7 linked regions of the Ovis aries genome follow. The protein of the gene in region 4 interacts with the protein of the main gene of each other region in a pairwise test. Links are inferred from orthologs where the notes say so. Each region holds a gene or a part of one and is shown on either strand. Other genes may lie near its edges. The genes, in order: ATPAF2, CTPS2, EFHC2, SPG21, ARL6IP1, PRPS1 and AKIRIN2.

Region 1 (4,288 bases), on a different chromosome or scaffold from region 4:
TCGACATGAGAGGAGTGAAGTGCAGGAAGGAGCTGGGACAGGTAAAGCTAAAGTTCCAAAGCCATTAGGAGCTGGCAGCAGGTTCTCAGAAATCCAGGTCAGATGGGGGGAGGAAATACCATATGAGAAATAAAAGTGGGTGAGTTACATTTCCTAGCATGAGTATCAGAGACTACAAAGGAAGCCCTGACATGTGGATCAAAGTTAAAAATACAGTAAGAGGGTCCCCTAGAGCCAGGAAGGAGGAGAACAGAGAGATGGGGAGGTCTGGGCAGACAGATGGACAGAACAGGAGTGGACTGGAAGTGGAAAGAGGGTGGGGAGTAGGGAGTGTCAAGAGTCTGAGCCAGGAAGAGACTATGGGTTGGGGGCTAGGAGATCAGCTTCTAACAGACTGTGAGGAGCCCACTTAGGATGTGAGTGCCCAGGCTAAGGAATGGGCCAGCAGTCCAGGTGGGATGGGGGCCCTCAGGTCCCGGGGCTGATGGAGAGAGGAGGCGGATGAAGCTCTGCCGGGGAGGAAACCCCCGGAGAAGGAGGCGGGTCCCAGGGCCTGGGGTTCATGGGACCGAGGAAAACGTGGGAGGCAGCAGGCACGTCTAGGGCCTGGGAGCGTCCAGAGTCAGAGGGAATCCCTGGAGAGTTTCCCGGACGGGGTCCGAGAGGGACTGAAAGAAAGACTGTTGCCGGGGCGACAGGCCACGGGGAGGCAGGGCCGGATCTGAGGCGGCCGGTCCCCGGCTCGGGCCCGCAGGGTTGGGGTGCGCCGGAGGGCCCCCGGCAGGCCCGGGCAGCAGGCCCGTCCGTGGCCGCGGGCCCCAGGGGGCGGCGGCGTGGCCCGGTCCGTGGACGTCTCGAGAGGCCGGGCCGCCGGCTCACCTGCAGCACTACCTCCACGTCGTACGAGTTCCCCTTGCTCTTCTGGTGGCCGCGGAACTTGGAGCCGCTGTAGAGCAGGCTGGTGGCCACGCCGGGCTGCTGCGTGTTGATAGGCGGCGGCGGGATGAGCGAGGCGGCGGAGGCGGCCGAGGCACCGGCCGGCGGGGGACACTCGGTGCGGACCGGCATCGCGGGGTCCCCCGGAGCCAGGGCTGGGGGAGGGGGAGGAACCGCCGCCGCCGCGCGGAAGCCGAGGGCAGACGGAGGAGAAGCCGGCGCGCGCGTAGGGCGGGAGGGGTCCACCCGCCGGCCGCAAGCAGATCGAGCGCTCCGGCCACCACCGGGACCCCGGGACCTGCGAGCAGGGCCTCCGGGTCCTGAGCGAACCCCCTCCCCGCCTGCGCTCGCACACACACCCCTTCCGATTGGCTCGGGCGCGCTGAGGGGCGGGATCAGGCTGGCTCGGCGATTCCGCCCATTGGCGGGCGGGGAAAGCACGTGGCGGGAGCCGAGGCCCTCTGGTACTTGTAGTCTTTTTCCCGAGGCGCGGCGCGGGGGCGGGGCCGGGGCGTTTGTGATGCTGATTGGCTGCGGCGTGCGCTGAGGCGCGCGGCGGCGGCGCGCTACGAGTGTCGTGCGCAACATGGCGGCGCCCCAAAAGGGAGAGGGTGCCGGCGACTGGTGAGGAGGTTTGTGGAGTTCGAGCACACGGCGTGTGGTCCCTCCGCTCCTTTTCCCCGAGCTCTGGTTTCGAGCGGTCGTTCTCTGAGGCCCCCGCGCGATGTGGAGGAGCTGCCTTCGGCTGCGGGATGGGGGGCGTCGCCTCCTGAACCGGCCCCGAAGTGGCCTCACCGCCTCCGAGGGGCTGGGGCGAAAGCCCCCTATCCCCTTCCGGGCCTACGTGCCCCCGGCAGGTGAGAGAGGCCAGGGCGGAGCAGGCTGAGGGGTCGGCCATGCAGGGTCACACGGTGGGAGGGAAGTTCCCCGCGAGGGCAGGGATCGCTCCAGGGCACACGCGCGTCGTTTCCTTTTGGCAGGTGCGGTTTTTCTCTCTTTCACTGGGGAAGCAGAGGTCATCCTTATTTTCAGGCGGGGAAATTCGACTTCTGGGTCGGGATTGCGCTAGAGGCGCGAAGCAGACTCAGAGGTTTGCGGGGCAAAGGCCAGTCTGCTAGGCTGCTTTCTGTGTCCCCGCGACCGGCACTGAAGGGGCCTGAAGCTCGGGCTTTAAGTCTTCCATCCCGGCCGCTTGCTCCACAGCTGTCCTGGCCCTGCCTCCTGCTGCCCTCCCAGAACACCTGCCACCTCTTCTAAGGAGTTGACACCCCGTGCCCCCTTCCTGCACTTCCGACTCGGATGAGGCTTTCTGTAGCGGATCTTTCTTACTCCTAGGCAAAGATTTTGGGATAAGAGTGGGACTGACTTTAAGTGAGTGAAGACAGTAACGCTTTCTTTCCTGCCAGTTAGTACTGTGCTGAAGGTGGGGGTGAGGAGAAGGTCACTGCGGTGTTGGAGCTGTTCCGAGGTCGCCCGTGTGGCCTCCAGTCCCCTACCAGCTGTCCCAGCCATCAGCTGCATAGAGAAGAAAGGTCTTCAGAGAGCCTGCCTGTCCAGCTGAGGAGTACACCGGTGAAGTCAAAGCTGGGGGTCTCTGCTTACAAGTTGTCTTGTCTGCACAAGTGGTTTAGCGTCTCATTGTCTGCCTCCTCTAAAGAGACAGCTTGTGCTGGATTGAGGGAGATGCTGTAGATAGGGAGGCCAGCCTGCCACCTGTTTTTGTAAATAGTTTTCCAGGAACCCAGGCCCGCTCATTCACTGACACACACCTAAGGCTGTTTTCACTACAGTGCAGAGTTGGCTGGTTGTGCCAGACACTGGATGGCCTGCAAAGCTTAAAACACTTTGGCTTTTTACAGAAAAAGTTTGCCAGCAGTGCTGTGGATGCTAGAGCGGTTTTGGGGAAAAGTGTTTAGTCATCTGGCCCGTTTATAGTAATTGCTGTGGTAGATACACTTGCCCTGAAGAATTTTAAAACAGCCTTACTGAGATGATGCATTTAGAATTCACTCACTTAGATTGTACAGTTTAATGGTCCCTAATGGCTCAGATGGTAAAGAATCCACCCTTGTTGCGGGAGACCTGGGTTCAATCCCTGGGTTGGGAAGATCCCCTGGAGGAAGGGCATGGCTACCCACTCCAGTATTCTTGCCTGGAGAATCCCTGTGGACAGAGGAGCCTGGCGGGTTACAGTCCATGGGGTTGCAGAGTCGGACATACTGAGCGACTAAGCACAGTATACTCAGAGTTCTGCTGCCATCAGTTCTGGAACCTTCTTATGACACCAAAGGATCCCTGTACCCATTAGCTGCCACTCTGAGTATCCCCCTGCCCCACCCCATCCCTCCAGCCCTAGACAACCACTACTTCACTCTCTATGAAGTCAAGTCGCTCAGCCGTGTCCGACTCTTTGCGACCCTGTGGACGGTCGCCTACCAGGCTCCTCCCTCCATGGGATTCTCCAGGCAAGAGTACTGGAGTGGGTTGCCATTTCCTTCTCCAGGGGGTCTTCCTGACCCAGGGATTGAACCGGGGTCTCCCGCATTGCAGGCAGATGCTTTAACCTGTGAGCCACCAGAGATCTGTATCTATAGATTTCCCTATTTTGGACATTTCATATAAATGGAATGTGGTCTTTTTCTCCATTTAGCGTATATCCAAGGTTCGTCCTGGCTTCCCTGGTGGCTCAGACGGTAAAGCATCTGCCTACAATGCAGGAGACCCTGGTTCGATCTCTGGGTCCGGAAGATCCTCTGGAGAAGGAAATGGCAACCCACTCCAGTACTCTTGCCTGGAAAATCCCATGGACGGAGGAGCCTGGTAGGCTACAGTCTACGGGGTTGCAAAGAGTCGGACACGACTGAGCACCTTCACTTTCACTTTCACAAGGTTTGTCCTAGAGTTAGCGCATGTCAGTACTTCATTCTTTTTCATAACTGGTAATATTCAGTTTTGGGGACACACCATGTCTTATTTACCCAGTCAGTCATTGATGAACATTTGGGTGGTTTTCATCATTTGACTGTTCTGAATGCCTTTGTAAACACTTGAATACAGGTTTTTGTGTGAGAATGTGTTTTCGTTTCTCATAGGAGGTACCTAAAAATAAATAGGACGTCCCCAGTGGCTCAGGGTTAAAGAATACACCTGCAAGGCAGGAGACCCGGCTTTGATTCGTGGGTCAGGAAGAGCCCTTGGAGAAGGGAATGGCAACCCACTCCAGTATTCTTGGCTAGAGAATTCCATGGACAGAAAAGCCTGGTGGACTGCAGTCCATAGGGTCACAAAGAGTTGGACACAACTAAAGCAATTTAGCACACACGCAAGAGCAGACTTGCTGGATCAAACGGTA
Region 2 (4,208 bases), on a different chromosome or scaffold from region 4:
CACTTCTGGGCATACACACCGAGGAAACCAGAATGGAAAGAGACACATGTACCCCAATGTTCATCGCAGCACTGTTTATAATAGCCAGGACATGGAAACAACCTAGATGTCCATCAGCAGATGAATGGATAAGAAAGCTGTGGTACATATACACAATGGAGTATTACTCAGCCGTTAAAAGGAATTCATTTGAATCAGTTCTGATGAGATGGATGAAACTGGAGCCAATTATACAGAGTGAAGTAAGCCAGAAAGAAAAACACCAATACAGCATACTAACACATATATATGGAATTTAGAAAGATGGCAATGACGACCCTGTATGCAAGACAGGAAAAAAGACACAGCTGTGTAAAACGGACTTTTGGACTCAGAGGGAGAGGGAGAGGGTGGGATGATTTGGGAGAATGGCATTCTAACATGTATACTATCATGTAAGAATTGAATCGCCAGTCTATGTCTGACGCAGGGTGCAGCATGCTTGGGGCTGGTGCATGGGGATGACCCAGAGAGATGTTGTGGGGAGGGAGGTGGGAGGGGGTTCATGTTTGGGAATGCATGTAAGAATTAAAGATTTTAAAATTTAAAAAATAAAAAACCAAAAAAAAATAAAATAAAATATTAAAAAAAAAAAGGACAGAAGAAAATTTTCTTCCTCAAGGAGAATTACATGCTTGATGTGTTCCCAGATCCTGTGTGTATGGGGGTGAATATAAAATCAAGGTTCCTGCCCTCCTGGTTTTCACCTTTCCTGTGGGATGAAGGGGCAAATAATCGGCACTGTAACTACCTTATTCCAGCACTGTCACACTATTAAAATGACTTCTCATTTGTAAAAGTTAGCAACATGGAAAAATGCCATAAAAACAGAAGAGTATTCATGAGAAGGTACATTATGTGGTTGTCAGAAAGCCTAAGAATCTTTCATGTAAAATATGCTTATAAGCATTATATTATCTATTATATAAGACATTATATTATCTCAACTGCTTTTTAAAATTAAGACTGCTCAAGTCACACTAAAATGCTACATTTTAATATATTTAGGTGGTTGGGTTGCAGGTAAGTATGTATCAGTTTTCCACATTTTCAAACGCACAAGATAACTTTTTAAGCACATCAGATATTTTGCAAAGTTCTTTTTGAAAACGTAACTCAAAAATAGAAAATATAACTTAATATCAAGGAGACACCTAGTCCTTTCCATCTCTTTTAAGCAAACAAGTAAGTCTGAAGCAAAATTTAAAACAGTAGAAAAAGCAGATTCTTCACGCTGTTTCTAGAATCAGGACTTTTTTACTCTTGTGAATTACATTATTTACATTGACTCACAGGCAGTGAGCAGAACCAACTGTCTGTAAAATAGGGGTGTGTAGAGCTGTCCGCTATCCAATAAAACCATAACATTTGTGTAGTTTTAAATTTTCCAGTCGCCATATTAAAAAAGTAAAAAGAAACAGATTAACGTCATTTAAATAATATCTTATTTAACCCAATTTATCCAAAATACTATCATTCAACACATAATCAATATAAGAATATTTTGGTGAGATAATTTACATCCTTTTTTTGTTGTTGTTACTGTCTTTCGAAACTAGGTGTGTCTACTCAAAGCACATCTCAGTTCACACACTTGCCATATTTCCTGCTCTCAAGAGTCACATGCTGCGAGTGGCTACCACACTGGACAACGCAGGACTAGAATAACTGAAAAAAAATCAGAGGCAACAAGAGACACCTTCTCGATGACGGCCATTTAGAAAGCAGTCAAAAACAGAAGAATACTTACTTAATGAGCCCACTTTATGGAAATTCTAGAACCGGCAACACTAAGCTCTGATGAAAATCAAGGGGTGAGGGCAGTTGTGGATTGACCGGAGAAGAGCATGAGGGAACTTTCTGGAGTGATGGAAATGATCTAGGTCTACGTTTGGGTAGTGGTTACGCGGATGTATAATTTGTCAAAATCCCTTATCTGCACACTTAAAATGGGGGCATTTTATTGAATGCAAATTAGACACCATATGTGGAGAAACTGTTGCAGAAAGAAAGCTATGTTGTAGCAGCAGCGGACTCGGGCTCAGCGCGCCCTAACCAGCTAGGAACCGGGAAATGAGAGAGTCGCGGGGCGGAGGACGGGACAAAAAGGCCCACTCCCTCGGCGCTGGGCTGCACTTCCTCCAACGCCATCTCGGGGCTCCCGGGCCCGGGAGAAACAGGGCTGGGCACGCGGCGGGCCCCGGCGCCCGATTCCGAGGCCAGACGCGCGCGGAAGCGCCGCCTGGGGACACGGCGCTCCGGCGCCAGGGCCGCTGGCCGCCCCAGGGCGGGCTCCCAGGGCTCAGCCCCGCCCGGCCGCTGTGGGCCCGCGGGCAGAGCGCGCGGTGTGCAGGGACGCGCGCGGCGGCCGCCCCCGGAGGGGACAAAGGCGCTCGGCCCCACGTGCGCGCCGGGCCCGGGGCGCGGGCAGGCGGGCGGCCCCGGCGCGGAGGCCCCGGCGGGGGATTACCTGTGAGCCGGCGGCGGTGGCGCGGAGGACGGCCGCGCTCACCTGTCGGCTGAAGACGAGGCCGCCGCCAGGGGTGTCCCGAGCCTCCCTCAAGGTCCCTCCCGCCTCCCGCGCGGACCTCGGGGTGCGCGGCGCCCTCCTAGCCCACCTTCCCCTCTCCTGCCGCCGCGGGCCCCGCTGACTCACTCCGGTGAGCTTGGGGTTGGCACCCGGGTTTGTGCCACGCTCCGAAACAAGCGGCCCCAAAGTGAGTCCTCTGGCGCCGGCGGCTTCCCGTCACCCTCTGCCCTGGACGCACTCGGCCCCAGGCCTGGCTCAGCCCCGGGGACTGCCCCTCCCCTCCGCGGCTGGCGGAGCACCGGCACCTCGGGGCCGCGGGTGAACGCCACGTCCCAGCGCCCCGGCCCTCGGCACGCCCAGACCCTGCTCGGGCCCACGCGTCAGGCTCTCGACGCCGGAAAGGGCTTCTGGGTCGCGGAGAGGGGCTGCGGGAGCTCCAAACGGAGGGCGACGCTCAGACGGAGTGCGGCCCTGTGAGGGGCTCACGCTATGGGGAGAGGGCTACACCCCTATTGGAGTCAGTAAGGTTCCTGGCCAGGACGCGTGTAGCAAACATTAAAATTAAAAAATTAAAAATTCTAGGGGGTAGGGGGACGACAATCAGGGCTTCGCCGAGTGACTTTTTAAAGAAGATGGTTGGTGCCTCGGTGCCAGGAAAGGACACAGGAGGTTAAGGCGAAGGGAAGAACATGCACAAACCACTGAAGGAGAGAGGATCTAACTAGGGGGTTTGGAGTGAGATGGAAGGGCTGGGAAACTGGTGAAAATTTTGACTGGCCAGCCAGGTGAGTCACTAGAGGGCCCAGTGAGGTGAGCATCACTGAAGACCCAGTGGAGTCTGGAAACCATTACTGTACAATGAGCTCCACCTAGGTCGACATATAAATACTGATATTGTGATAAAACCGGAGTTTGCTGGTTGAGTGGAAGGATGAGAGTGAGGAAGTTAAGGGCACTGAAAGAATGTTACCCCGGTGACACACCAGGGGCCTAGTCCCCAGAAGAAAGGAAGGGAGAGGAGCAGGGAGCAGATAGACTGGAACTAAGAAGCGAGATGTTGACCCCCGGTGGTCCAGTGGTTAACACTCCGCGTTTTCAATGCAAGGGGCGGGGGTTGATTCCTGTTTGGGGAACTGAAATCCCACATGTACCACAGCACGGCCAAGAAAAAGAGAGATAGACCAAAAGATGAGGGCCTGTGGGGATGAAAGGACTGAGGAGTTGTCACCAGACTGTGGGTGTCAGCGATGTCAAAGGGGAAGAAATTCCAGGAGGTGATCCAGTTTAGAGTCTGACCCTGACATGGCGTCAAGTGAGATGGGTGTCACTGGAATTGGGCCTAGGGCTCACCAGGCCAGTGTGGGGGACATTGAGGACCCCCAGAAGGATGTCAACAATTGGAGGAGTCAATCGAGGCCAAGGAACCAAATCTTCAGTGAACGTGGAGGAGCAATGAGGAAGCTAGTAGATAACAGCAACAAGGAAGGTAGAGGGATGGTTGGCAAAATTCAATTTTTTTTCTTTTTTTAAGGAGGAAACACCTTATAAAAAGGCAGGAAGCACAGAGGACTTTGTTGTAAAACAAGTCTTCCAGAAGACCCAGCACAAAGGATGCATGTGAAACAGGTTCACATCGATG
Region 3 (3,500 bases), on a different chromosome or scaffold from region 4:
TGTCTGGTTCTTTGAGAAACAAAACCTACTCATTAACTTCTTTTCTCCTTTTCTACAGGGTATACTGGAGGGATGTTCTTAAAAAGAGTTCGTGTTAAGAAGCCTGGACAAGAAGTCTTTAAAAGTGAATTCTCAGAATATATCAAGGCTGAGGAGCTGTATGTTGGAGCCAAAGTGGACGTGAATGGCTACCTCTTTCTTTTGGTCAATGCTGATGAGTATACCTTGAACTACATGGAGAGGCATTCAGATAAGGTGAACTCACTTGGTATAATTCTTGCCTTCGCCTCTCAGCACTCTGCAGTCTGTGTTTTCCTTACTCCAGGCCTTTTCTTCTTTGCCTTGCAACCAATTTTACATTGTGTATTCACACATGTGGGCATGAATAATGGATCTGCATGATTTGGCCGCAGGTCCCATCACAGAGGCCAGGGCCTGGTCTCCTCTGTTTATGTGCTGGGTTTGCTGCTGCCCAGCATCACGGATGCCAGGCACAGGCAGGAGGCAGGCCCAGGGTTGAATCAAGTTTCCTGGGTTTTCTGCTGATGCTGAAAATGTTTTCAGAAAGAAATTGAGCAGTGGTCTGAAAGGAAGAAAACCTGGTGCCACACACTGTGCTGTCTCAGTTAATTGGCACAGGCCTGCAAAGAAGGCCAAGACCTGAACAAACAGAAACCCCAAGGGAACCCGATAGTTGCTGGGGTTGCAACTTCCCATAACAGGGGCCACCTGAGGCCTAAATGAGACTCCAAGGACAAATTGGCAACAGTGAGCTCCACAAGTTTTTCCATTTGAAATGAGATGGCACATGGGTGCTATTACTGAAAGTACTATTATGACAATGCTGTTCACTGAAAATATGTTCACAAAACCTTGACTTTAAGTGTGGATGAGTTCCATGTCTCTGCTTTTCAGTATGCTATCTAGGTTGGTCATAACTTTCCTTCCAAGGAGAAAGTGTCTTTTAATTTCATGGCTGCAATCACCATCTGCAGTGATTTTGGAGCCCCCAAAAATAAAGTCTGACACTATTTCCACTGTTTCCCCATCTATTTCCCATGAAGTGATGGGACCAGATGCCATGATTTTCATTTTCTGAATGTTGAGCTTTAAGCCAACTTTTTCACTCTCCTCTTTCACTTGCATCAAGAGGCTTTTTAGTTCCTCTTCACTTTCTGTCATAAGGGTGATGTCATCTGCATATCTGAGGTTATAGATATTTCTCCCAGCAATCTTGATTCCAGCTTGTGCTTCTTCCAGTCCAGCATTTCTCATGATGTACTCTGCATAGAAGTTAAATAAGCAGGGTGACAATATACAGCCTTGACGTACTCCTTTTCCTATTTGGAACCAGTCTGTTGTTCTAATTGTTGCTTCCTGACCTGCATATAGGTTTCTCAAGAGGCAGGTCAGGTGGTCTGGTATTCCCATCTCTCTCAGAATTTTTCACAGTTTATTGTGATCCACACAGGCAAAGGCTTTGGCATAGTCAATAAAGCAGAAATAGATATTTTCTGGAATTCTCTTGCTTTTCCGATGATCCAGTAAATGTTGGCAATTTGATCTCTGGTTCCTCTGCCTTTTCTAAAACCAGCTTGAACATCTGGAAGTTCACGGTTCACGTATTGCTGAAGCCTGGCTTGGAGAATTTTGAGCATTACTTTACTAGCGTGTGAGATGAGTACAATTGTGCAGTAGTTTGAGCATTCTTTGGCATTGCCTTTCTTTGGGATTGGCAAACTGACCTTTTCCAGTCCTGTGGCCACTGCTGAGTTTTCTAAATTTGCTGGCATATTGAGTGCAGCACTTTCACAGCATCATCTTTCAGGATTTGAAATAGCTCCACTGAAATTCCATCACCTCCACTAGCTTTGCTCATAGTGATGCTTTCTAAGGCCCACTTGACTTCACATTCCAGGATGTCTGGCTCTAGGTCAGTGATCATACCATCATGATTATCTGGGTCATGAAGGTCTTTTTTGTACAGTTCTTCTGTGTATTCCTGCCACCTCTTCTTAATATCTTCTGCTTCTGTTAGGTCCCTACCATTTCTGTCCTTTTTTGAGCCCATCTTTGCATGAAATGTTCCCTTGGTGTCTGTAGAGATCTCTAGTCTTTTCCATTCTGTTGTTTTCCTCTGTTTCTTTGCATTGATCACTGAGGAAGGCTTTCTTATCTCTCCTTGCTATTCTTTGGAACTCTGCATTCAGATGCTTATATCTTTCCTTTTCTCCTTTGCTTTTCACTTCTCTTCTTTTCACAGGTATTTGTAAGGCCTCTCCAGACAGCCATTTTGCTTTTTTGCATTTCTTTTCCATGGGGATGGTCTTGATTCCTGTCTGCTGTACAATGTCACAAACCTCAGATAGCATACTGAAAAGATGAGACATTACTTTGCCAACAAAGGTCTGTCTAGTCAAGGCTATGGTTTTTTCAGTGGTCATGTATGGATGTGAGAGTTGGACTGTGAAGAAAGCTGAGCACCGAAGAATTGATGCTTTTGAACTGTGGTGTTGGAGAAGACTCTTGAGAGTCCCTTGGACTGCAAGGAGATCCAACCAGTCCATTCTAGAGGAGATCAGCCCTGGCTGTTCTTTGGAAGGAATGATGCTAAAGCTGAAAGTCCAGTACTTTGGCCACCTCGTGTGAAGAGTTGACTCATTGGAAAAGACTCTGATGCTGGGAGGGATTGAGGGCAGGAGGAAAAGGGGACGACCGAGGATGAGATAGCTGGATGGCATCACCGAATCGATGGACATGAGTTTAAGTGAACTCCGGGAGATAGTGATGGACAGGGAGGCCTTGTGTGCTGTGATTCATGGGGTCCCAAAGAGTTGGACATGACTGAGCAACTGAACTGAACTGAATTCCATGTGCCAGCATGTGTATTTCAGAACCATGGCCTACTATTGAAGAATCTATCTATAAACTATTTTCAATGTCTGCCTGTAAATAATAATACTTCTGTGCCAATTATATAGATTCAGTGCCAATTCCATTTCATTTCATGTCAAGTACTCATGGAGATGTTGCTAATATCAGTCTCTGTGTACAACATATTACCTGGATCAGTTTTGGTCCTCTGAGAAGCAGATCCTAAGGCAGAATGATATGTGCAAGAGATGTATTGAGGGAAATCTGTATGAAGGATAAAGGAGGGAGCAGGAATAGTGGGGAGACTGAGATGTAGGTCTGACTCCTGAGAATAGAGAGGGAAGGAGGGAGGATGGGGATGAGAAGAACCTCAGACACATTGGAGCCAGTCTCACAGGGAGCCCCAGAGCACACACTACGGACCAGAGAAATCCCATGTCAGGCAGTAATGGCCCAGCTCTGGTGCCTCCATCCTGCTCCATCACTGGATGGGAAGAATCTGGGGAGACTGTGGCCTCTGGGTGAATCTCTGAAAGCTGCAGCACTCCAGTGACCTGAAGGTGCAGCAGCAGGGGACTGTTTGCTAACAGGACTCCTCTCTGCGTGGTCTCTCTTGAGGGCAGGCC
Region 4 (3,500 bases):
AATTAGAACATTCATTAGAATGTTCTAATGAAATCAGAATATCCTCTAACCATACACAAAAATAAACTCAAAATAGATTAAAGACCTAAATGAAGACTGGATAGCATAAAACTCTTCAAGGAAAACATAGGCAGAACACTCTTTGATATAAATTACAGCAATATCATTTTGGATCCACCACCTACAGTAACGAAAACAAAAATAAACAAATGGGACCTTAAAAGCTTTTGCAGAGCAAAGGAACAATAAACATAATGAAAAGACAACCCACAGAATGGAAAAAAATATTTGCAAACGAAACAACTGACAAGGGATTAATCTCCAAAATATACAAAACAGCTCATGCAGCTCAACAGCAAAAAAACAAAAATAAAAAAATGGACAGAAGATCTAAATAGACAGCTCTCCAAAGACATACAGAAGGCCCAAAAGCACATGGAAAGATTCTCAACACTGCTAATTATTAAAGAAATACAAATCAAAACTACCATGAGGTATAACCTCACATCAGTCAGAATGGCAATAATCAAAAAGTCTACAAACAGTAAATGCTGGAGAGGGTGTGGAGAGAAGGGAACCATCCTACACTATTGATGGGAATGTAAATTGGTAAAATCATTATAGAGAATCGTATGGAGGTTCCTTAAAAAACTAAAAATAGAACTACTATTTGAATCAGCAATCTCACTCCTAGGCATATATCTGGAGAAAATCATAATTCAAAAAGATACATGCACCCCAATGTTCAATGCAGCACTATTTACAATAGCCAAGACATGGAAGCAACCTAAATACCCATTAACAGAGGAACGGATAAAGAAGATGTGCTACATGTATACAATAAAATATTACTGAGCCATAAAAAAGAATGAAAGAATGCCATCTGCAGCATCATGGACCTAGAGACTGTCATAGTAAGTGAAGTAAGTCACGAAGAGAAAGATAAATATCGTACGACATTACTTATATGTGGAATTTCTTTAAATGATATAAATGAAGTTATTTACAAAACAGAAACAGACTCACAGACTTCAAAAACACACATCATTACCAAAGGGGAAAGGTTGGGGGAAGGACAAATTAGAAGTTTGGGATTAACATATATAGATATATAGTAGTGTTACTACATATAAAATAGATGTATTATAGCACAGGAAACTCTACTCAATGTTCTGCAATAACCTATATGGGAAAAGATTCTGAAAAAGAATGGATATATGTATATGTATAACTGAATCACTTTGCTGTACACCTGAAACTAAGACAACATTGTAAATCAACTGTACTCTAAAATAAAAATTTTAAATTAAAAAAAATTTGTGTTCTAGTTGTATACAACTTAATATACACACAAACAATTGAGTATGAGTAAAACTGGAAATGTGAACAAGGTTGGTGGATTATATTAACATCAATATTGGCTGTGATATTCTACTACAGTTTTATAAAATGTTACTATTGGGAAAAACTGGGCAAAGTATATAAGGGGTATCTCTCTATTACTTCTTACAACTGCATGGGAATCTAGAATTATTTCAATAAAAATGTAAATGAAAAAAGGATCCATGCATTTTTAACTGCAAGATACTAACAGATGTCTAGTAAAATTTCAGAAATCTCCTGGCACTTTGATCAAATATTAAGGATGAAGTGATTTTGAAGACATTGCTGTCTTTTTACTTGATTCTTTATCTAGCTAAGAAATAGGGAATGCCCACATCAGGAAGCTTGAGGGCAAGAAGAAATATCCAGGCAAAAGGCAAGGCTGTGTGCCCTGTCAGTTTATTTTTTTTTTTTTTTTTTTTTTATTTTTTATTTTTTAAATTTTAAAATCTTTAATTCTTACATGCATTCGGAAGAAAAAACATGCTGACTGCTTTGAAGAACGCTCAAAAGTGAGACAGACAGCTGGGGGGCTGCTCAGTCTCCCTCTCCCTGGCCAACCAACAGTGATCACCTAGACACAAAATGTCACCACTTCAGCTGCAAAGGACGAGGATGAGGGCGGCTACCAGCCTCCTCTCCTAAAATGCTGTCCACAGAGAGGGATTACTGAAAACCCAGAACAAGGGAGGATTACGTGGCAGGGCTTCCAACACACCATATGAGGAATGGTTAAAGAATCTGGAGAGATTTAGCTGGAGAAGACAAGACCTGGGGGGGAAAGTCAGCAGGCAGCCAAAAGTAACTAGTTTTTTCAAGAAAGAGCAGGGCTATCAGGAGGGAGAGGTGCTGCATTTGTCTTGTGTGACCCCAGTTGGTGGTAGCCCCAGTGGAATTTGCAGTTTCCTTCTGAGAGAAGAGCCTGGGTCCACGTTTTCTCTCCTCTAGGCAGTAAATAAAATGTATACCAACAGCAGTACTCCCATGGGGAGTACCATTTACGTGTTAATATTCTAGGTCCCAGAAAACAACCGCCAGCTCCAAAGCCAGGGCCTCTGCTTCGGGGAAGTTAGGAAACCGAAGTCCACAGTCCTGACCTAGTCAAGGCGTGCCAAACACTCTATGGTGAGCAACGGCGCCTTCCCACCTACGCCCTCCTCCCAGAGAGGGGGATTAAAGAATGATCAATGCAAAACTAGATTTAGACCAAACTCAGTGGTAACAATTAGAAACAAAAAACTTGTTGACCAAACGTGAAGAATATGAGCTAATGAATGAACCTCACCTCACCTGTCAAAGACTCACCTTTAGCAAGGTTTCAGTACCCTTTGCTGCTTCCAAGCAATGATGGCCTCACCTCACCTGTCAAAGACTCACCTTTAGCAAGGTTTCAGTACCCTTTGCTGCTTCCAAGCAATGATGGAATAAAAGGAGGGAGGAAATGGGGTCAGATTCACCCTCTGCTGCCTACTGGCTGTGTGACCCTCAGCCATCTCTAAAATGTCCAGACCTCAGCCTCCTCATCTATAAACAAGAACAATGCTTCCTACCAGTCAGACTGATTCAGGAAATGCATGTCCAAGCTGAGGGTAGGGAAAGCTTCGATAAAGGTTTGTCTCCTCTGCACCTCCGTTTGTTTTCAAACCACACCACCTTCCTTCAAAAAAACTCCCTTTCACATTTTAAAAATGAAAAACAGTATTTCACAATAAGAAACATGCCCATTACTATACTCAGAAACAGAAACACACACACAAAATCAGAAAATGTGGCCCTGCATTGTTATCCTAAATCAGTAATACTTACAGCTATAACCCGGTAACCCCATCCAGTCAAAGCCAAAATCTGCCGGAAAAATACATCCGCAGTTCCACTGACGGGAGGGAGAAATATGAGAGGACACCTGATATTTCTGGGGCCTGCATCGTAGAGCGACCAGATCTTACTATCATCATCATCCACAATAATCTGGAGGGAAAGTTATAAGAGGAAAATGAAAAATCTCATGGATTTGATTTTACATATCAATAGTTATTTCAACACCATAATTTCGCTGACAATTTTAATACCACTGTCTTGGTGGTTTACACACTAAGGTGGGGATCACACCAGACCAG
Region 5 (4,224 bases), on a different chromosome or scaffold from region 4:
AAAACTATGTTTACTGTTTTGAATTATTCCTAAGTTACTTATGAAATTAGTATTACCTTAAATATCAATGGTAAAAAATGTAAAGCAGACATACTATGGAAAGCTCATTATGAGTTCTGCAATCACTGAAAAATCATTACCAAAAAAAGCCTCACTTCAATAAAAAGGTCTAGAAAGAAAAAAGTCAAAATAAATGCTAGAGTATAAAAGAACTATGGAGATATAAGTACTGGAAATTCACGATTTATATGTGAATCAGCTAAAAAGTTCTTTACATCAAACAGTAAGTCTAATCCCTAGCTGTTAATTAAGGCAGCTCTCTGTGTGTGATTATAGCACCCTAGTCACAGTTATCAGGTTCGCAACTTCTCAGAAATTTGAATGCCACATCATTATGCCACCTACCATTTATTGGAGCCAAAAATTCTAGGTGCTAGAATGGGAACAAGGTAGTCAGCCAAGCACAAAAACATAACAAAACAGGAAACACCAGATAGAACAGATGGATCTAGATAGTAGATAGTCCTGTTTAAAAAAAAAAAGTAACAAAGGTTAGAAAAATATGGTCTTTATCAGTGCTAGCTGAAGACGTTTATTCAGTTAGTCCTCTGGTTCTCAAAAGATGTTATCTGCCCTTCCTATTCTCATTTTCTCACAAGTGGTTTTCCAGAAGTTTTGTGACATGATGACATCCCAGCCATAACGGTTAACGTAAACATCAAGAGGCAAAAGCCCTTTGGGGTCCTCAACACCTTCTAGGAGTGTAAACAGTCCTAAGTTTGAACCACAGATTTATTTCACTGCACCGGTTACTGACTTTACATAGTACTATGGATTCTGAAAACCAGGCAGGCGGCTCTAAGGCAAGGCATTTTTTTACAGATTTTAAAATTACAAGACTTCAGGCACTTCCATAAATGAAACCTGAACCATTATTAGTAACAAGCATAAATCTATTGTAATTTAATAGCTCACTTACAGAAACACCAAAGAAACCACACCCATAATGGCAGGTGGAAACCAGGCTCTTTCCCATCGGAGGATTTTATCTGCCATCAGCATCACTTCTCCCCATCCTTGCAGCTGCTCTTCCAGACTTGCAGTCTCTGCAGCCTACATATGAGCAACGTTTAAAGCAATCATTTTACTAATCTCAACATTTCTGTGACTCCTAGAGATACCAAAGTCAGAAACCAATGGGGGGAAAATTATCATGTAACGGTCACTTTCCAAGCCCAAGCACTGGGGTTATGTAACATAATCCTTATAAGACCCCTTAAGATAGGGATAATCAGACCCATTTACAATTAAAGTGAGTTCAGAATGGTTATTTTCCCAAAACCATGCACTGCTAACTGTAGGCTTCCCTGGTGGCTCAGACGGTTAATCATCTGTCTACAATGCGGGAGACCTGGGTTCGATCCCTGGGTCGGGAAGATTCTCTGAAGAAGGAAATGGCAACCCATTCCAGCACTCTTGCCTAGAAAATCCCATGGATGCAGTAGCTTGGTGCAGGCTACTCCGTCCATGGGATCGCAAACAGTCGGACACGACTGAGCGACTTCACTTCACTATGCACTGCTAAGTGGCACTGCTCCAAGTATAAAATAAGATCACTTGAAGTTTGCTCATTTCAGGTTGTTACAATCGATCTGTTCTTTGGTCATTTCATTGATTTAACCCCCTACTCCTGAATACATGAGGAAAGCCTCTCCCTGAACAGCATTCATTTCCAAAATAGCTCTTGGTGTACTAGAATCATCTGTATATTGGCATCACTTGCACAAGTAAGGAAAACTACTGTGCTTTCTTCGAATTATAAGACTTATTAAGCCCAATATATCTCAATAAAATGCTCCTTACACTTATCAGGATGCTTTGGTTAGATGTCAAATTTCTCTGCAAATCTGACAATCAGCTGCAAGCAGACTTCTCAGATGAGCTAAGCAGACTTCTCAGATGAGCTAATGTGGCAAAAAACCTTTAAGTTGATTTTGTTTTTTGTTGTTGTTTGGTTGGTTTTTTTCGTTGCATGTAAGCTAAGTTTCGGAGACAGCAATGGCACCCCATTCGGGCTGAGGTTATAATTGTCTGCCTTTGATACAAGCTCACTGCAGTTCCCTTCGACCCCTGCTTACTCTAAAATCGTCCTGTGACACCCCCTCCCAGTCTTAGAAGTTCCAGACAAACGCCAGGAACCTCCCATTGTCCTTCCAGCTGGATCCCACCTCCATTTTCCAGCCGTGAGCTCGAAGCCTCCCTGCCGTTTTAAGCCGTGCCAGGCTCTAACAGAAACGCTCGGGAAGAGCCCTTTGACCCTCCACTCCTGCCCAAGCATTAGGGTAAAGGGCGAAGGGACATTCTGGTTAAGATCAAGGAAGGGGAGACACAGATACGGCTGGAGTCTGGGCCCCAAAAGCGCTCGACAGGCCCCTCGCGGCTCTCTGCCACTGACTGCAACCCAGACTGGTCACAGCCCCCTTCTCCAGCTTCCTCCTCTATTCGCAGTGAATGATCACGCGCCCTCCTCGCTCCATCGCGCACCTTCCCCAAGGGGGTGTTAGGAGACGCCACGACTAGTCACTGTCAAGCAGAGGTTAACCAAGAAGCCAAAAGGGCAAGCGTCATCGCCTACACCAGGGAAGGGAGCGGAGGGCCGGGCCCGCCGCGGGTGATAAGAACAAGGCCGCAGCTCAGTCCCACGGAGCACACCAAAGTCCGGAGGCTCCACTCGGTCCTCTGGCGACTAGTCGCTGGGACTCACCAGCAGATTGGTGCTGCGATTATCTCCTTCCGCCATAGTTCTCGAGGTGTGCCGTCTCAGCGAGCACAGGACGAAACCACAACAAATCCTCCACAGACTCCCTCGCCGCACCCCTAGCGCGAGGATACGCCCCGCAGCCCTCTTATATAGGCCGGCTGCCTTTCCCGACAGACCCTGCGAAGCTCGTTCCTCATTGGACAAATCGAGATCAAGCTTGAACAGGTCGGACCAACCGCTGCCCAGCGCATGACTTGAAACCGAGGTCAAAGGAGAGAAACCTCGCCAGTGCCCCGGGGGCGGGGCCATGGGATGGCCAATCAGCGCCCAGTAGGTGACAACGCCCCGCCCAGGCCTCTCCTAAGCGGTTCAACGGCCGCTCCCGGGGGCCTGGCCTGGCTTCAGTATTCCTAAGGCGGGCCGCCAGGTGGCTCTCGGACGATCTTCCAGTGGACTTCAAAGCAGCTAAGCATGCTCTCTGGAATTGAGTCCTTAAGGAAATATGCCACGCAGTATCAGGCGGAGGGCAGAGATGGGCATGTGACAGTAACCTCCTTAAGGGGGCGGGCTGGGATCTTCTCCCAGATCCAGCGGGTGGCCCTGGGCCTGGCTGTTCCCCGAGTTGGACCCACATTTCTTCTAATCCCTGCTCTGGCAGCCCTCGTCAGGCTGCTGAGCAGTTTAGCCTAGATTTGTGACTTGGAGACTCGTGCCCATCTCATGAGCTTTGTGGACAAGGGAAAAGGGCATAAATTCTAGGTTTTCTGTAATTTTCCTCCCCTACTCATTAGGAATAAGGTCTTAGATGGACGGGCGGGGGGCGGCAGAGGGGGTGTGGACATCTGGGCAGAGTTTGAGAGCTTGTGAAAAATGCACTTTATAAAACTGGTTCATTTTCGTGGGTTCTTTGGGAAAGTTCTTAATAGAACACCTCACTTGAAACCGCATGTTCCCCCTCCAAAAAGGGGCTGGTTTTGACAGATCCTTTCATATAAGGAAAGATGTAAACCATCTTGAGTGGAATTCATTGCAATTTAAGAACTAGATGATCAATGTGAGACACATTTTCTCTCCAGGATTTCAAAATGCATTAACGTTTTCATTACTCAACACAAAATAATGCCAAATGTTGACCTTTCAGATATCTCTTTCAGAAAAACATGCCATAGCTTTCAACTTCCAGTCTTTTATCCTTTTGCAGTCATCTATATTATGCCATCGTTTATTTTAAAAACGTTCCTTAAATAACTACCAGGTTCATAAAAAGTTCAGGGAAGGCATAAAGAAATGTGAGCCAACACAGCTACAGACCACATGCTGCCCCTAAGAAAACTAGGGGGACAGAAGCATTGTGAATATCATTAAAAGTTATGAAATTTGCCATTGAACTTTGAAAAAAATTAAGCATCTGATCAGGTATAAACCCCGTGGGACGGAGCAGGGTAGGGGGCTTTGTAAGGGAA
Region 6 (4,167 bases), on a different chromosome or scaffold from region 4:
CACATATATGTATGTATGTTTCTCCTTAAAAACTGGACAGCAGGAACCCCCTGGTGGCACAGTGGTTAAGAATCTGCCTGCCAATGCAGGAGACATGGGTTTGATCCCTCCTGGGAAGATTCCACACACCACGAGGCAACTAAGGCCATGTGCCACAACTACTGAGCCCATGTTCTAGAGCCCGGGAGCTGCAACTACTGAGCCCACGTGTCCCAACTACTGAAGCCCTTCTCTGACAACAAGACAAGCCACCGTAATGAGAAGTCTGTTCACAGCAATGAAGAGCAGTGCGCCCCGCCCCCCACTCCCCTGCCAACTACTACTCGCTGCAAATAGAAAAAGCCCACTCACAGCAAGGAAGACCCAGTGCAACCAAAAATTAACGAATTTTAAAAAACTGGACAGCAAAGGATGATCCTGACTTCAGGAGAAAACTACTCCAGAGAGCATCAACCCCTGAGATTGTGCCAAATTGCAGCAAAACAGTCTCATCTGAGGATGGGCTCTGCAGTTCCCCATCTAATGACCCCCAGCACCCACTGTGGGTAGGTGCTATCCTGTCCATGACCTTTAGATCCCAGAGTCAGGGCAGCAATGACCACTTCTGCAGTGCAGAAAAGCCAAAGGTTGGGGGAGGGAGATGAAGGGGAAGCTCCATAGGCAACATATTCGATTATGTTCAATGAAGATTTCAGAACATCTAAGGAGCCAAAAAGCTAATTAAGCCAGAAACAAAGCAACCGAACCAGTCAGCAATTTTCCATTGGGCTTAATCTTATTCAGTGCTTCCAAGCATGTTACTGTCTGGTTATTTAAAAATGAAATCAGCCTTTTAGCTCAGCGAAGTAGATTGGGGCTCCAGATAATTTTAGAGAAATCAATCAGTAGACCACTAAAATGTTCTCCTCTCCTCTCCCAATTTAGCCTCAGGTTCTGATGTGGTGCACTAGGCAGAGGGTGCACAGGGAAAATAAAGTCTTTGTATTTTTCCTGGAAGCATACAAAAAAGATTTAATAGTCACAGTTCTCTAGGGAACAACAACAACAACAAAAAAAAACCACCTCCAAATGAAAATCATTCTGGTCCCCTAGCTATACTGCCACTTGCAAAGTCTGGTCCTATTTTATTACAGCCCGTGAGTCATAATGGTGTGGTTAAGCTAAAGACAGCAGCTTGGCTAGCCTTCTGACTAAGGTTTTGTCTGGTTACAGACCGCATCAGGGCTTGCACCATCATCTGCATCACAACCAATGACACAATGATCAAGCATCCAGAAGGAAGCTGTCCACTACAGATGAATGCTTTTACCAGCAGGGTCTACAAAGGACAGGGGAAGTTACACTTTGGGAAGAGAAAAGGAAAACAAAAGCACTTAGGAAAAAATGTTCAAGGCAATCTTCACTAATTTAACTGACTCATTAGGTTTGGTGTAAATTTTCCCTTTAATAGAGGACTGACTGTGGGTACTGCTCTGATTTGATCAACAGGATAACAACAAAATACAGAAAAACACTTAGCAGAACCAGAAGATTCTAGATTTAGATGGAAGTGGTACTGAAAGGATTTGGTGACCAAGTTATCTCTAAGATGGCCCCAAGGTTCAGGAGCATGGAAGTGGGGGGGAGGGAGCAAATTTAATCAGCAAAGCAATGACAAAAAATTCACTGCAATGAACTATGCATTTCCAGCCTTCCACTCCATTATCTTTCTTCTATTATCTTAACATTCAGGGATTAAAATGTTTCTTAAATCCCCCACACAACATTAGAAATGCAAGTTCAGGACAGACTTTGGTTCTGAAAAATATGCTTTTGCACTGTTTTACAAACAGCTACGCTTGGGAAGATCAAGGATTCCAGAATTAAGGTTCCCTATTATTTTTTAGATGGCTCAAACCAAGATGCTGGCAATCGGGATGCAGTTAACGCATCATTTTATTCAAGCGACTAGATTTAACTTCGAGTTTAAAGATGTGAAAATTCAACACTCGCCAATCTAAGAAGTCCTCGGTATTAATTTTGGCGCCCTCTGCACATAATGTCAAGTTCCCTCAACAGGAAATCGGACCAACACGGTTTCAAATTGAAAAGCTGCTTCTCAGACACTAGGAGGAACACCACGAGGGCTCAGTACGCAGTAGGATCTCCCAGGCGAGCCGGTCTAACAGCGGAAGAGAACCCAGTCTGGATGGCTCAACAGCTAAGCGGCAAAGCCACGTGTCCCCACCGCGAAGCCCAGGCGTTCTTCCCCTCTAGCCACTCTAGGAAGCCACCATCCCCGCCCTTGGCTTCAAACCCAGTAGCTTCCCCTCCTGCTCCATCTTGACTCCACCCACCACACAGTGAGAATGAACGTGACCCTCCCGCGAGAGGTAAAATAACGGAAACAGCCCGTGAGGCACGCTCGTCACAGAGCTGCCCCTTCCCCCCAAACCCGGCCCTTTGGAACTCACGCTGTGACCTCATCCCCCTACCCTCGGCTGCCCTGGCCTCTCCGGCAGGTGAGGCCGGTCGGCGTCCCAACTTCATCCTCACCAGGTCTCCTGGTTGCTGAATTTCTTAGTCACCACCTTGCCCAGTTCCAGGCCCAGGCGGTCGGCAATCTTCTGGGATAGATCCTGGTGGGAGCTGCCGCTGAAGATTTTGATGTTCGGCATCTTGGCCAACTACCCTAGGCTCTCTTTGCTTAACGATCACTGCTGCCGCCGCCGAGACCCGAACCGAGTGGGCCCAGAGACTCAGTACTAAGCACTCGCGTTTCTACTCCGCCATCTTACATTCCCGCCCGGTGCGCGGCTCTAAATCGCCGGCGCAGGGTAGGTGTAGTCAGCCGGGAAGCCCTCTCTCCGATTGGCTGAGCGCTAGTGGGTCCTCGCCGTAGTTCCGCCTATCCCCGACTGTCTCGAGGATTGACTGGAGGCCCTGAAAGGGGCGAGGCTAACGAATCGCCCCGCCCACTGTAGCGAGGCAGTTGGGGAGGGCAGAACGCCTAGAAGCCCGGGTTCCAATGGGGGTGGAGGGATGCTGGTGACGCGTAGGGCCAGATCTTTCCCGCAAGCGGGAAATCAGCCACCTTTTTTTTTTTTTTTCCTTCAGCACCTGAAAGTAAGCCTGGCTCTGGTTTACAGTTCCTTTCTCTTTTCTTTTTTACAGTTTCTTTTAAAAATATCTATTTCTCAGGATGGCAGCCACAGTTCATACAAACATGAGTTTGCATGTTTCTGAACATGATTTTTATCTTTTTGTAAGGATGGGGCTGAACTTAAAGCATGATTGCATCACAGACAGACGCCATAGCACAGGCTCATACAAAGGGCAAACCGGTAATTTCACTATCCCCTTTGCCTGACAGACAAGTCCCAAGGGGAAAGTGACTGAGGGCAAGCTACCTGAGTCATCCAGAGACACTGCAAGAGAAGTCACATTTTGTTTTTAACACTAGGACCAAGTACGTTCAAACAGGTGCTGGAGTATGGATTTTCCACAATATCTGGGTGATAAAGGGTCTGATTTATCTGACCCTTGGAAAGGAAAGAAAGTACAGTATACTTATAGGACTTCAGATAAATAGCCCCAAAGGAGTCAGAAAACCTAGTCTTTGGTCCTATCTGCCTGATGTTATCCTCAGCATCATATTCTATCTGTTGCTAATGTGTTCTTTTACACCACTATTTTATTACTTTTATGATGATACCAGCTAATTAGACCAAAAAGAGCCTTTATTCTCACACCACATTTTCATTAAGCATATCCCAACCATGAGTTAGAACACAAAAATCATGTAATTTTAGAATCATACAATTTTAGTTAGAAGTGCCATAATGCTCATAACTACAAGCTGTAAAAATAGAAGGGACTTCAGAAATCATCTAGTCTACTAGCTTCATTTTACATATGGTTGAAACGGAGACCAGAGATGGAAAGAAATTTGTCCAAGTGGCAAAGGCAAAAAATATTTCAAGCAGCACCCTAGCTTTCTCTTCCTGCCATTTTCAGCAGTGCCCACAGAGACCGCTCCTTCTGACCTTTTGTTATGATTTTATGAGTTCAGAAATTCAGTATAAGCCCAGGTGTCTAGGAATACTTGAAGGAAGTAGACTACAGGCAGAATATTAGTAGTGTTCCATCGCAATTCATTCATCAAATATTTACTGAGTGCTTCATTGC
Region 7 (4,278 bases), on a different chromosome or scaffold from region 4:
ACATGGCTGTGTTCCAATAAAACTTTAATTGCCAGTTCTTTTCTTTGTCCTATTAAGTCACAATAGTTTGAAAAATATTGATTTAAATAACAGTTATCAAGTCAAACCTTCCTGAGATGACTAACAACCAAAAGAAACAAAGCTAGAGTTTAAAAGATACCCAGTTCCTGAAGTGACAACATGACTTCAGCAACATATCAGAAAACACATATATAAATATATCCAGAGAACAAAAGTAAATTCATAATAAATTATACACATGCTCTGAAAAAAACTGCACTTCAGTAGTCTAGTTGTAAATTGTTTAAATTATATTTGAACCCACAGAAATGAAAACTCCATAAAGAACTTCCATAGAGCCCCAGTCAATTTCATTTTGGTAAGTTGCTTTCCATTTCCAACCCTAGCTACTTATTTCTGCTAAAGATATATGGTATTCATTCTAGACAAGTTTAAAGAATCACCACTTTTAAAACAGGAATTTAAAAGTTAGGTACTTGGAAAATTATTTCCAAGTTAGAGGACATGAAAACTGGGAAGCTGTTTGATACCTGCACAACACTGCAGCTCCCATTATGACACCATTACCAAAACCATACAAGAGCAAGCCCAAAACTGGCCGTGTTAACATAAGGCTAAATTACATGTAAAATGTCATTCCAAGACCACAGTTAAAAAGGTAAATTTTAGCAACTCAAAAGTTAATCAATTTTAACTGCTGTTCTCTAATTGAAATAGCTAGGGAAAAAAAACTTTTCAGAGACTCAATAAATATCAGTTAGTGTGTGACTTTAGAATTCAGGATATGATCAAAGTTACAGCAGATGCCAAAAACACCTTGAAAAACAGAAAACATACCAATATGTTGGAAAAATGTGAATTTGAATCAGCCGGCTTAAACAATTTCAATAATTCCAGTCATTTTACTATTATAATAGTAATGGTCCACTTAACCGAAATATAAAATGTGGAGTCACCTGCATTAGTGAATGCTTTAAATACATCAACGAAATGACAGATCTGCAAAGAATCACAATTCTTTCTGAATTAATTCCCTTTGAAGTGAGGACAAATATAGCCCCTAGCTGACTTACTTTATATGCTCAAGACTATTTTAGCACTTCAATATACTTTAACTCCCAAACCTAACACTGTATTAATTCACCCCCCTCAAATGAAATTTATTGCTGGTTAGCTAGAGCTATTTTTAAGTGGCCTTATTAAGTACAGATTCCACAGTATCATTTCAATTTTCAGTGATAGTCTTTCACTAAAAAGACAAACTCTGAAAATAGTATTAATCCCAGGAACTCATTCTTGACACTGTTCCAACAGCAAAAGATGGTAGCCTAGGCATCTGAGAATCTCCCTATGTATTTGGAAAAAGATATTTTAAAAGTATGACCTGAAAAATTACAAAACTTATGTCAATTCCAAATCAAGTTACCAGTAGAGTTAAATACTGCCCACAGATTTTCTTTTTAAAGCTGACGATAAAAAAGTAAATCAAGCTACGAAAAGGCTTTGTCTACAGATCTTATTATCACCAAACGGTCACACATGAAACCTTTGCATGCTACACACACAAGGGAAGCATTTACACTACTAGTCCACATAAGCCTATCTTAAGACTATGCCAGGGGCACACAAGGATTTTCAAAGTATAGGAAAAAACGGACACAAACGCAGTACAAAGCAGTCAAGAGGTAGCTGCCCAGTCACTTTCAGGAAATGTTTCAAGATGAACAGCAAAAATATTCTGAAGTCCCTTGGAATCTTGGGTTGATTTATTATTTTCAAGGCCTAGCCCTTTCCTTCCAAAGTACTTTCATGGGCAAAAATAAAGCACTTTTAACTAAAGCAACTACTCAGCCCCGAAGTTCAATACAACTTGCTTTTCATTAAAAGTTCAAGTTTCTCAAGGTCTAGACATATATAGTGTGATCGTATTACAGTATTCGGGAAGAGCATTTTCTTTGTTGTTGACCCTGCTAGGGAAACAGGTCTTGACTCAGCCAAAGTGGCGTTCTTGTGGGTGATTAATGACAGGCCTAGATCTCGCCCCAGTGACATCCCTCCCCCACCCCACGCCCTCCGTACTAAAATCAGCCCTGTCTGAACTGGAAGAGGGGCGGCCGCCTAGCCTCAAACCACCCAGTTCCAGAGTTAATAGGTGCAACCCATCGATTCTGGGAGACAGCCATCGAGATTCGGGTGAAATGTGTGACCCTTCGTTTGCCTCGATTTCCGTGTAGCACTCTCTCTGATCATTTCCGCTGGGGCTCTCCAGACTACGGAAACGCTCGATTCCAGTCATTCGGCCCAAAGAAAAAGACCTTCCTCTACCCTACAATACCCGGCAAGGCACCATCCCTACCCACCCCACCCCCGACCCCTCCCCCGATATCAGGCTATTCCTATTGTGTCTCCGACACTGAAAGAGCTCCTTAAGAAAAATGTGGCCGCCGAGGACTCTGCTAAGACCGGAGAGCCGTCCTGCACCCCTAGTCCCGCGGCCTCATCCCTCGCCCTCCACCCCCGGGCGGCCGCAAGACCGAGTCCCACCTGTGGTGAGACGGGAGGAGACGTCGCCGAAGGGAGATGGCTCCATTCGGAGATACTTCTGCGGCGAGGCGGCGGCGGCCGAGAAGGAAGCGGCGGTGGCCGCGGCGGCCGACGACGGGGTGGCGGCGGCAGAGGTGGGCGCCGACAATGGCGCACATCGCCTCCGCTTCGGGGACGCCGGGCTCAGCAGCGGGTCGAAATCCAGAGTCCGTTTCAGAGTGGCTCCGCACGCCATGGCCGGGGCGCCGGGCTCGGGTGGAGTCAGGAAGGGAGGGCGAAGGAAGCGGGTAAAAGCGGAGCCCCGAAGAGAGCCTAACCGACGGGCTCAAGAGTGGAAAGCCGGGTGGCGGAGCGCCGGCGAGGGGAGCAGAGCCGCTGCCGCCGCCTCCGCGGCAGGGGCAGTGGCCCGGGCCGGCTGGGGCGAGAGCAGGAGGGGCGGTGGCGGCGGCTCACGCTGGCCGCGTCAGGGGGGCTCTTCCGCCTCCTCAGGCACGGCTCCCCCGGGAGACGCTCCGGCCGCCCCCGCCGTCCGTTCGGGCTTTGCGCCGCGCCTGAGGCGCTCCTGCGCGGAGACCGGCTCCTTCAGAAGTCAATACCAGCCCCGTGAGATGTGAGGCTAGAACGCGGCTCCTAAGACGCTCGAACAGCGGCCGAAGTTAGAGAGCGGTGGTCGATGCGGCGAGATTGAGAGGCTGCGGCAGCGGCAGGAGCTCCAGCAAACACATCCAGCCGCTTCCCCCTCCACTGTCTGACTTCCACCCGCCGCCGGCCCCAATATGGCGTCAATAACAACGCCGCCGATTCAAATCCTGCGGCCTCAGGGCGCGTGCGCATAGCGGGGGGCGGGAGCCCGAGCATACATTCTGGGAGTTGTAGTTTATCACTGGAGGAAGGACTCTGCGTGAAAAGCGGTTAAGGAGAAGTCATGAAAACTACGAGTCCCGTCATTCAAGGCCAGCGATTCCGAGTTCCGGATTGGAATTTAAATCCCCCTACACATCTTGAGTGTAAAAGGAACTGAGGGTAAGAGAAAAGAGAAAAACCCGTTAGAGAGTGGGAGAAAAGAAAGCCGACCGGTGGGGAAAGCAGGTTTTGAAAAACCTTTAATATTCAGGTAGTAGTTGTCGTGGTACGCTCCCACAGTGATTTACCAACCGGGAACTTGAAAACGAAGCTAACCTAACAGTTCAAGACTGATTAAAACAGTGCCAGAAACAAAACCTGTCACATCGACTGGCTAGGAAATACTAAGATTTTGGGGACCTATTTAGAATTGCAGGAGAGAACAGTGGTACTATCAGGTTATAGGAACCTTGAATTGAACTTTATGTGTTGCCCTTTCCAGATAGCTGCTTTTAGCCACTTATTCGGCAAAGCCAGCTGTACCCTGTAAATGACTAGGATTTGAACGACGTACAGAACTAAATTGTTCTGCTTTGAATAAAAAGCTAATAGCAGAAGTTGTACTATCTCAATATTGGTGTATATCTTGTGAACGGTAAAAATTAAATCGAAAGACAATGGAAGTCTAGAGAGTAGATATTAGACCCATTTTGTAAGCAGAGAAAAAAATTTTTTATGAAAGTTCTACTAGTTTTGTATTGGACTGGTGATAGCTTCCATATGTAAAGGCCAAAGGATAGTTTTTCACGCTTTACCGGCTGAGCCACCAATTTGGGACGCACCATACTTCTAACCAGGTACCTAAAATGC

Evidence for each region.
Region 1: the proteins of SPG21 (region 4) and ATPAF2 interact in binary tests that used the Homo sapiens proteins (3 or more experiments, as listed by UniProt). The two-hybrid records come from large-scale screens. The link is inferred for Ovis aries from reciprocal best matches to the Homo sapiens genes SPG21 and ATPAF2.
Region 2: the proteins of SPG21 (region 4) and CTPS2 interact in binary tests that used the Homo sapiens proteins (3 or more experiments, as listed by UniProt). The two-hybrid records come from large-scale screens. The link is inferred for Ovis aries from reciprocal best matches to the Homo sapiens genes SPG21 and CTPS2.
Region 3: the proteins of SPG21 (region 4) and EFHC2 interact in binary tests that used the Homo sapiens proteins (3 or more experiments, as listed by UniProt). The two-hybrid records come from large-scale screens. The link is inferred for Ovis aries from reciprocal best matches to the Homo sapiens genes SPG21 and EFHC2.
Region 5: the proteins of SPG21 (region 4) and ARL6IP1 interact in binary tests that used the Homo sapiens proteins (3 or more experiments, as listed by UniProt). The two-hybrid records come from large-scale screens. The link is inferred for Ovis aries from reciprocal best matches to the Homo sapiens genes SPG21 and ARL6IP1.
Region 6: the proteins of SPG21 (region 4) and PRPS1 interact in binary tests that used the Homo sapiens proteins (3 or more experiments, as listed by UniProt). The two-hybrid records come from large-scale screens. The link is inferred for Ovis aries from reciprocal best matches to the Homo sapiens genes SPG21 and PRPS1.
Region 7: the proteins of SPG21 (region 4) and AKIRIN2 interact in binary tests that used the Homo sapiens proteins (3 or more experiments, as listed by UniProt). The two-hybrid records come from large-scale screens. The link is inferred for Ovis aries from reciprocal best matches to the Homo sapiens genes SPG21 and AKIRIN2.

What each region holds. Positions count from the first base shown.
Region 1 is NC_056064.1:34,270,459-34,274,746, forward strand, and holds the start of ATPAF2 (ATP synthase mitochondrial F1 complex assembly factor 2), read left to right. Parts: upstream 1-1,488; 5' UTR 1,489-1,660; coding exon 1,661-1,793; intron 1,794-4,288. Other genes in the region: GID4 (glucose-induced degradation protein 4 homolog), read right to left, coding at 880-1,068. UniProt on the Homo sapiens protein: Plays a role in the assembly of the F1 component of the mitochondrial ATP synthase (ATPase).
Region 2 is NC_056080.1:14,941,640-14,945,847, forward strand, and holds the start of CTPS2 (CTP synthase 2), read right to left. Parts: upstream 2,801-4,208; 5' UTR 2,658-2,800; intron 2,601-2,657; exon of another isoform or gene 2,510-2,600; intron 2,130-2,509; exon of another isoform or gene 1,790-2,129; intron 1-1,789. UniProt on the Homo sapiens protein: Catalyzes the ATP-dependent amination of UTP to CTP with either L-glutamine or ammonia as the source of nitrogen. Constitutes the rate-limiting enzyme in the synthesis of cytosine nucleotides.
Region 3 is NC_056080.1:43,387,197-43,390,696, reverse strand, and holds part of EFHC2 (EF-hand domain-containing family member C2), read left to right. Parts: intron 1-58; coding exon 59-255; intron 256-3,500. UniProt on the Homo sapiens protein: Microtubule inner protein (MIP) part of the dynein-decorated doublet microtubules (DMTs) in cilia axoneme, which is required for motile cilia beating.
Region 4 is NC_056060.1:11,894,484-11,897,983, forward strand, and holds part of SPG21 (maspardin), read right to left. Parts: intron 3,352-3,500; coding exon 3,190-3,351; intron 1-3,189. UniProt on the Homo sapiens protein: May play a role as a negative regulatory factor in CD4-dependent T-cell activation.
Region 5 is NC_056077.1:16,929,073-16,933,296, forward strand, and holds the start of ARL6IP1 (ADP-ribosylation factor-like protein 6-interacting protein 1), read right to left. Parts: upstream 2,801-4,224; coding exon 2,765-2,800; intron 1,114-2,764; coding exon 980-1,113; intron 526-979; coding exon 406-525; intron 1-405. UniProt on the Homo sapiens protein: Positively regulates SLC1A1/EAAC1-mediated glutamate transport by increasing its affinity for glutamate in a PKC activity-dependent manner.
Region 6 is NC_056080.1:127,648,269-127,652,435, forward strand, and holds the start of PRPS1 (ribose-phosphate pyrophosphokinase 1), read right to left. Parts: upstream 2,801-4,167; 5' UTR 2,658-2,800; coding exon 2,536-2,657; intron 1-2,535. UniProt on the Homo sapiens protein: Catalyzes the synthesis of phosphoribosylpyrophosphate (PRPP) that is essential for nucleotide synthesis.
Region 7 is NC_056061.1:49,618,153-49,622,430, reverse strand, and holds the start of AKIRIN2 (akirin-2), read right to left. Parts: upstream 2,801-4,278; coding exon 2,566-2,800; intron 1-2,565. UniProt on the Homo sapiens protein: Molecular adapter that acts as a bridge between a variety of multiprotein complexes, and which is involved in embryonic development, immunity, myogenesis and brain development.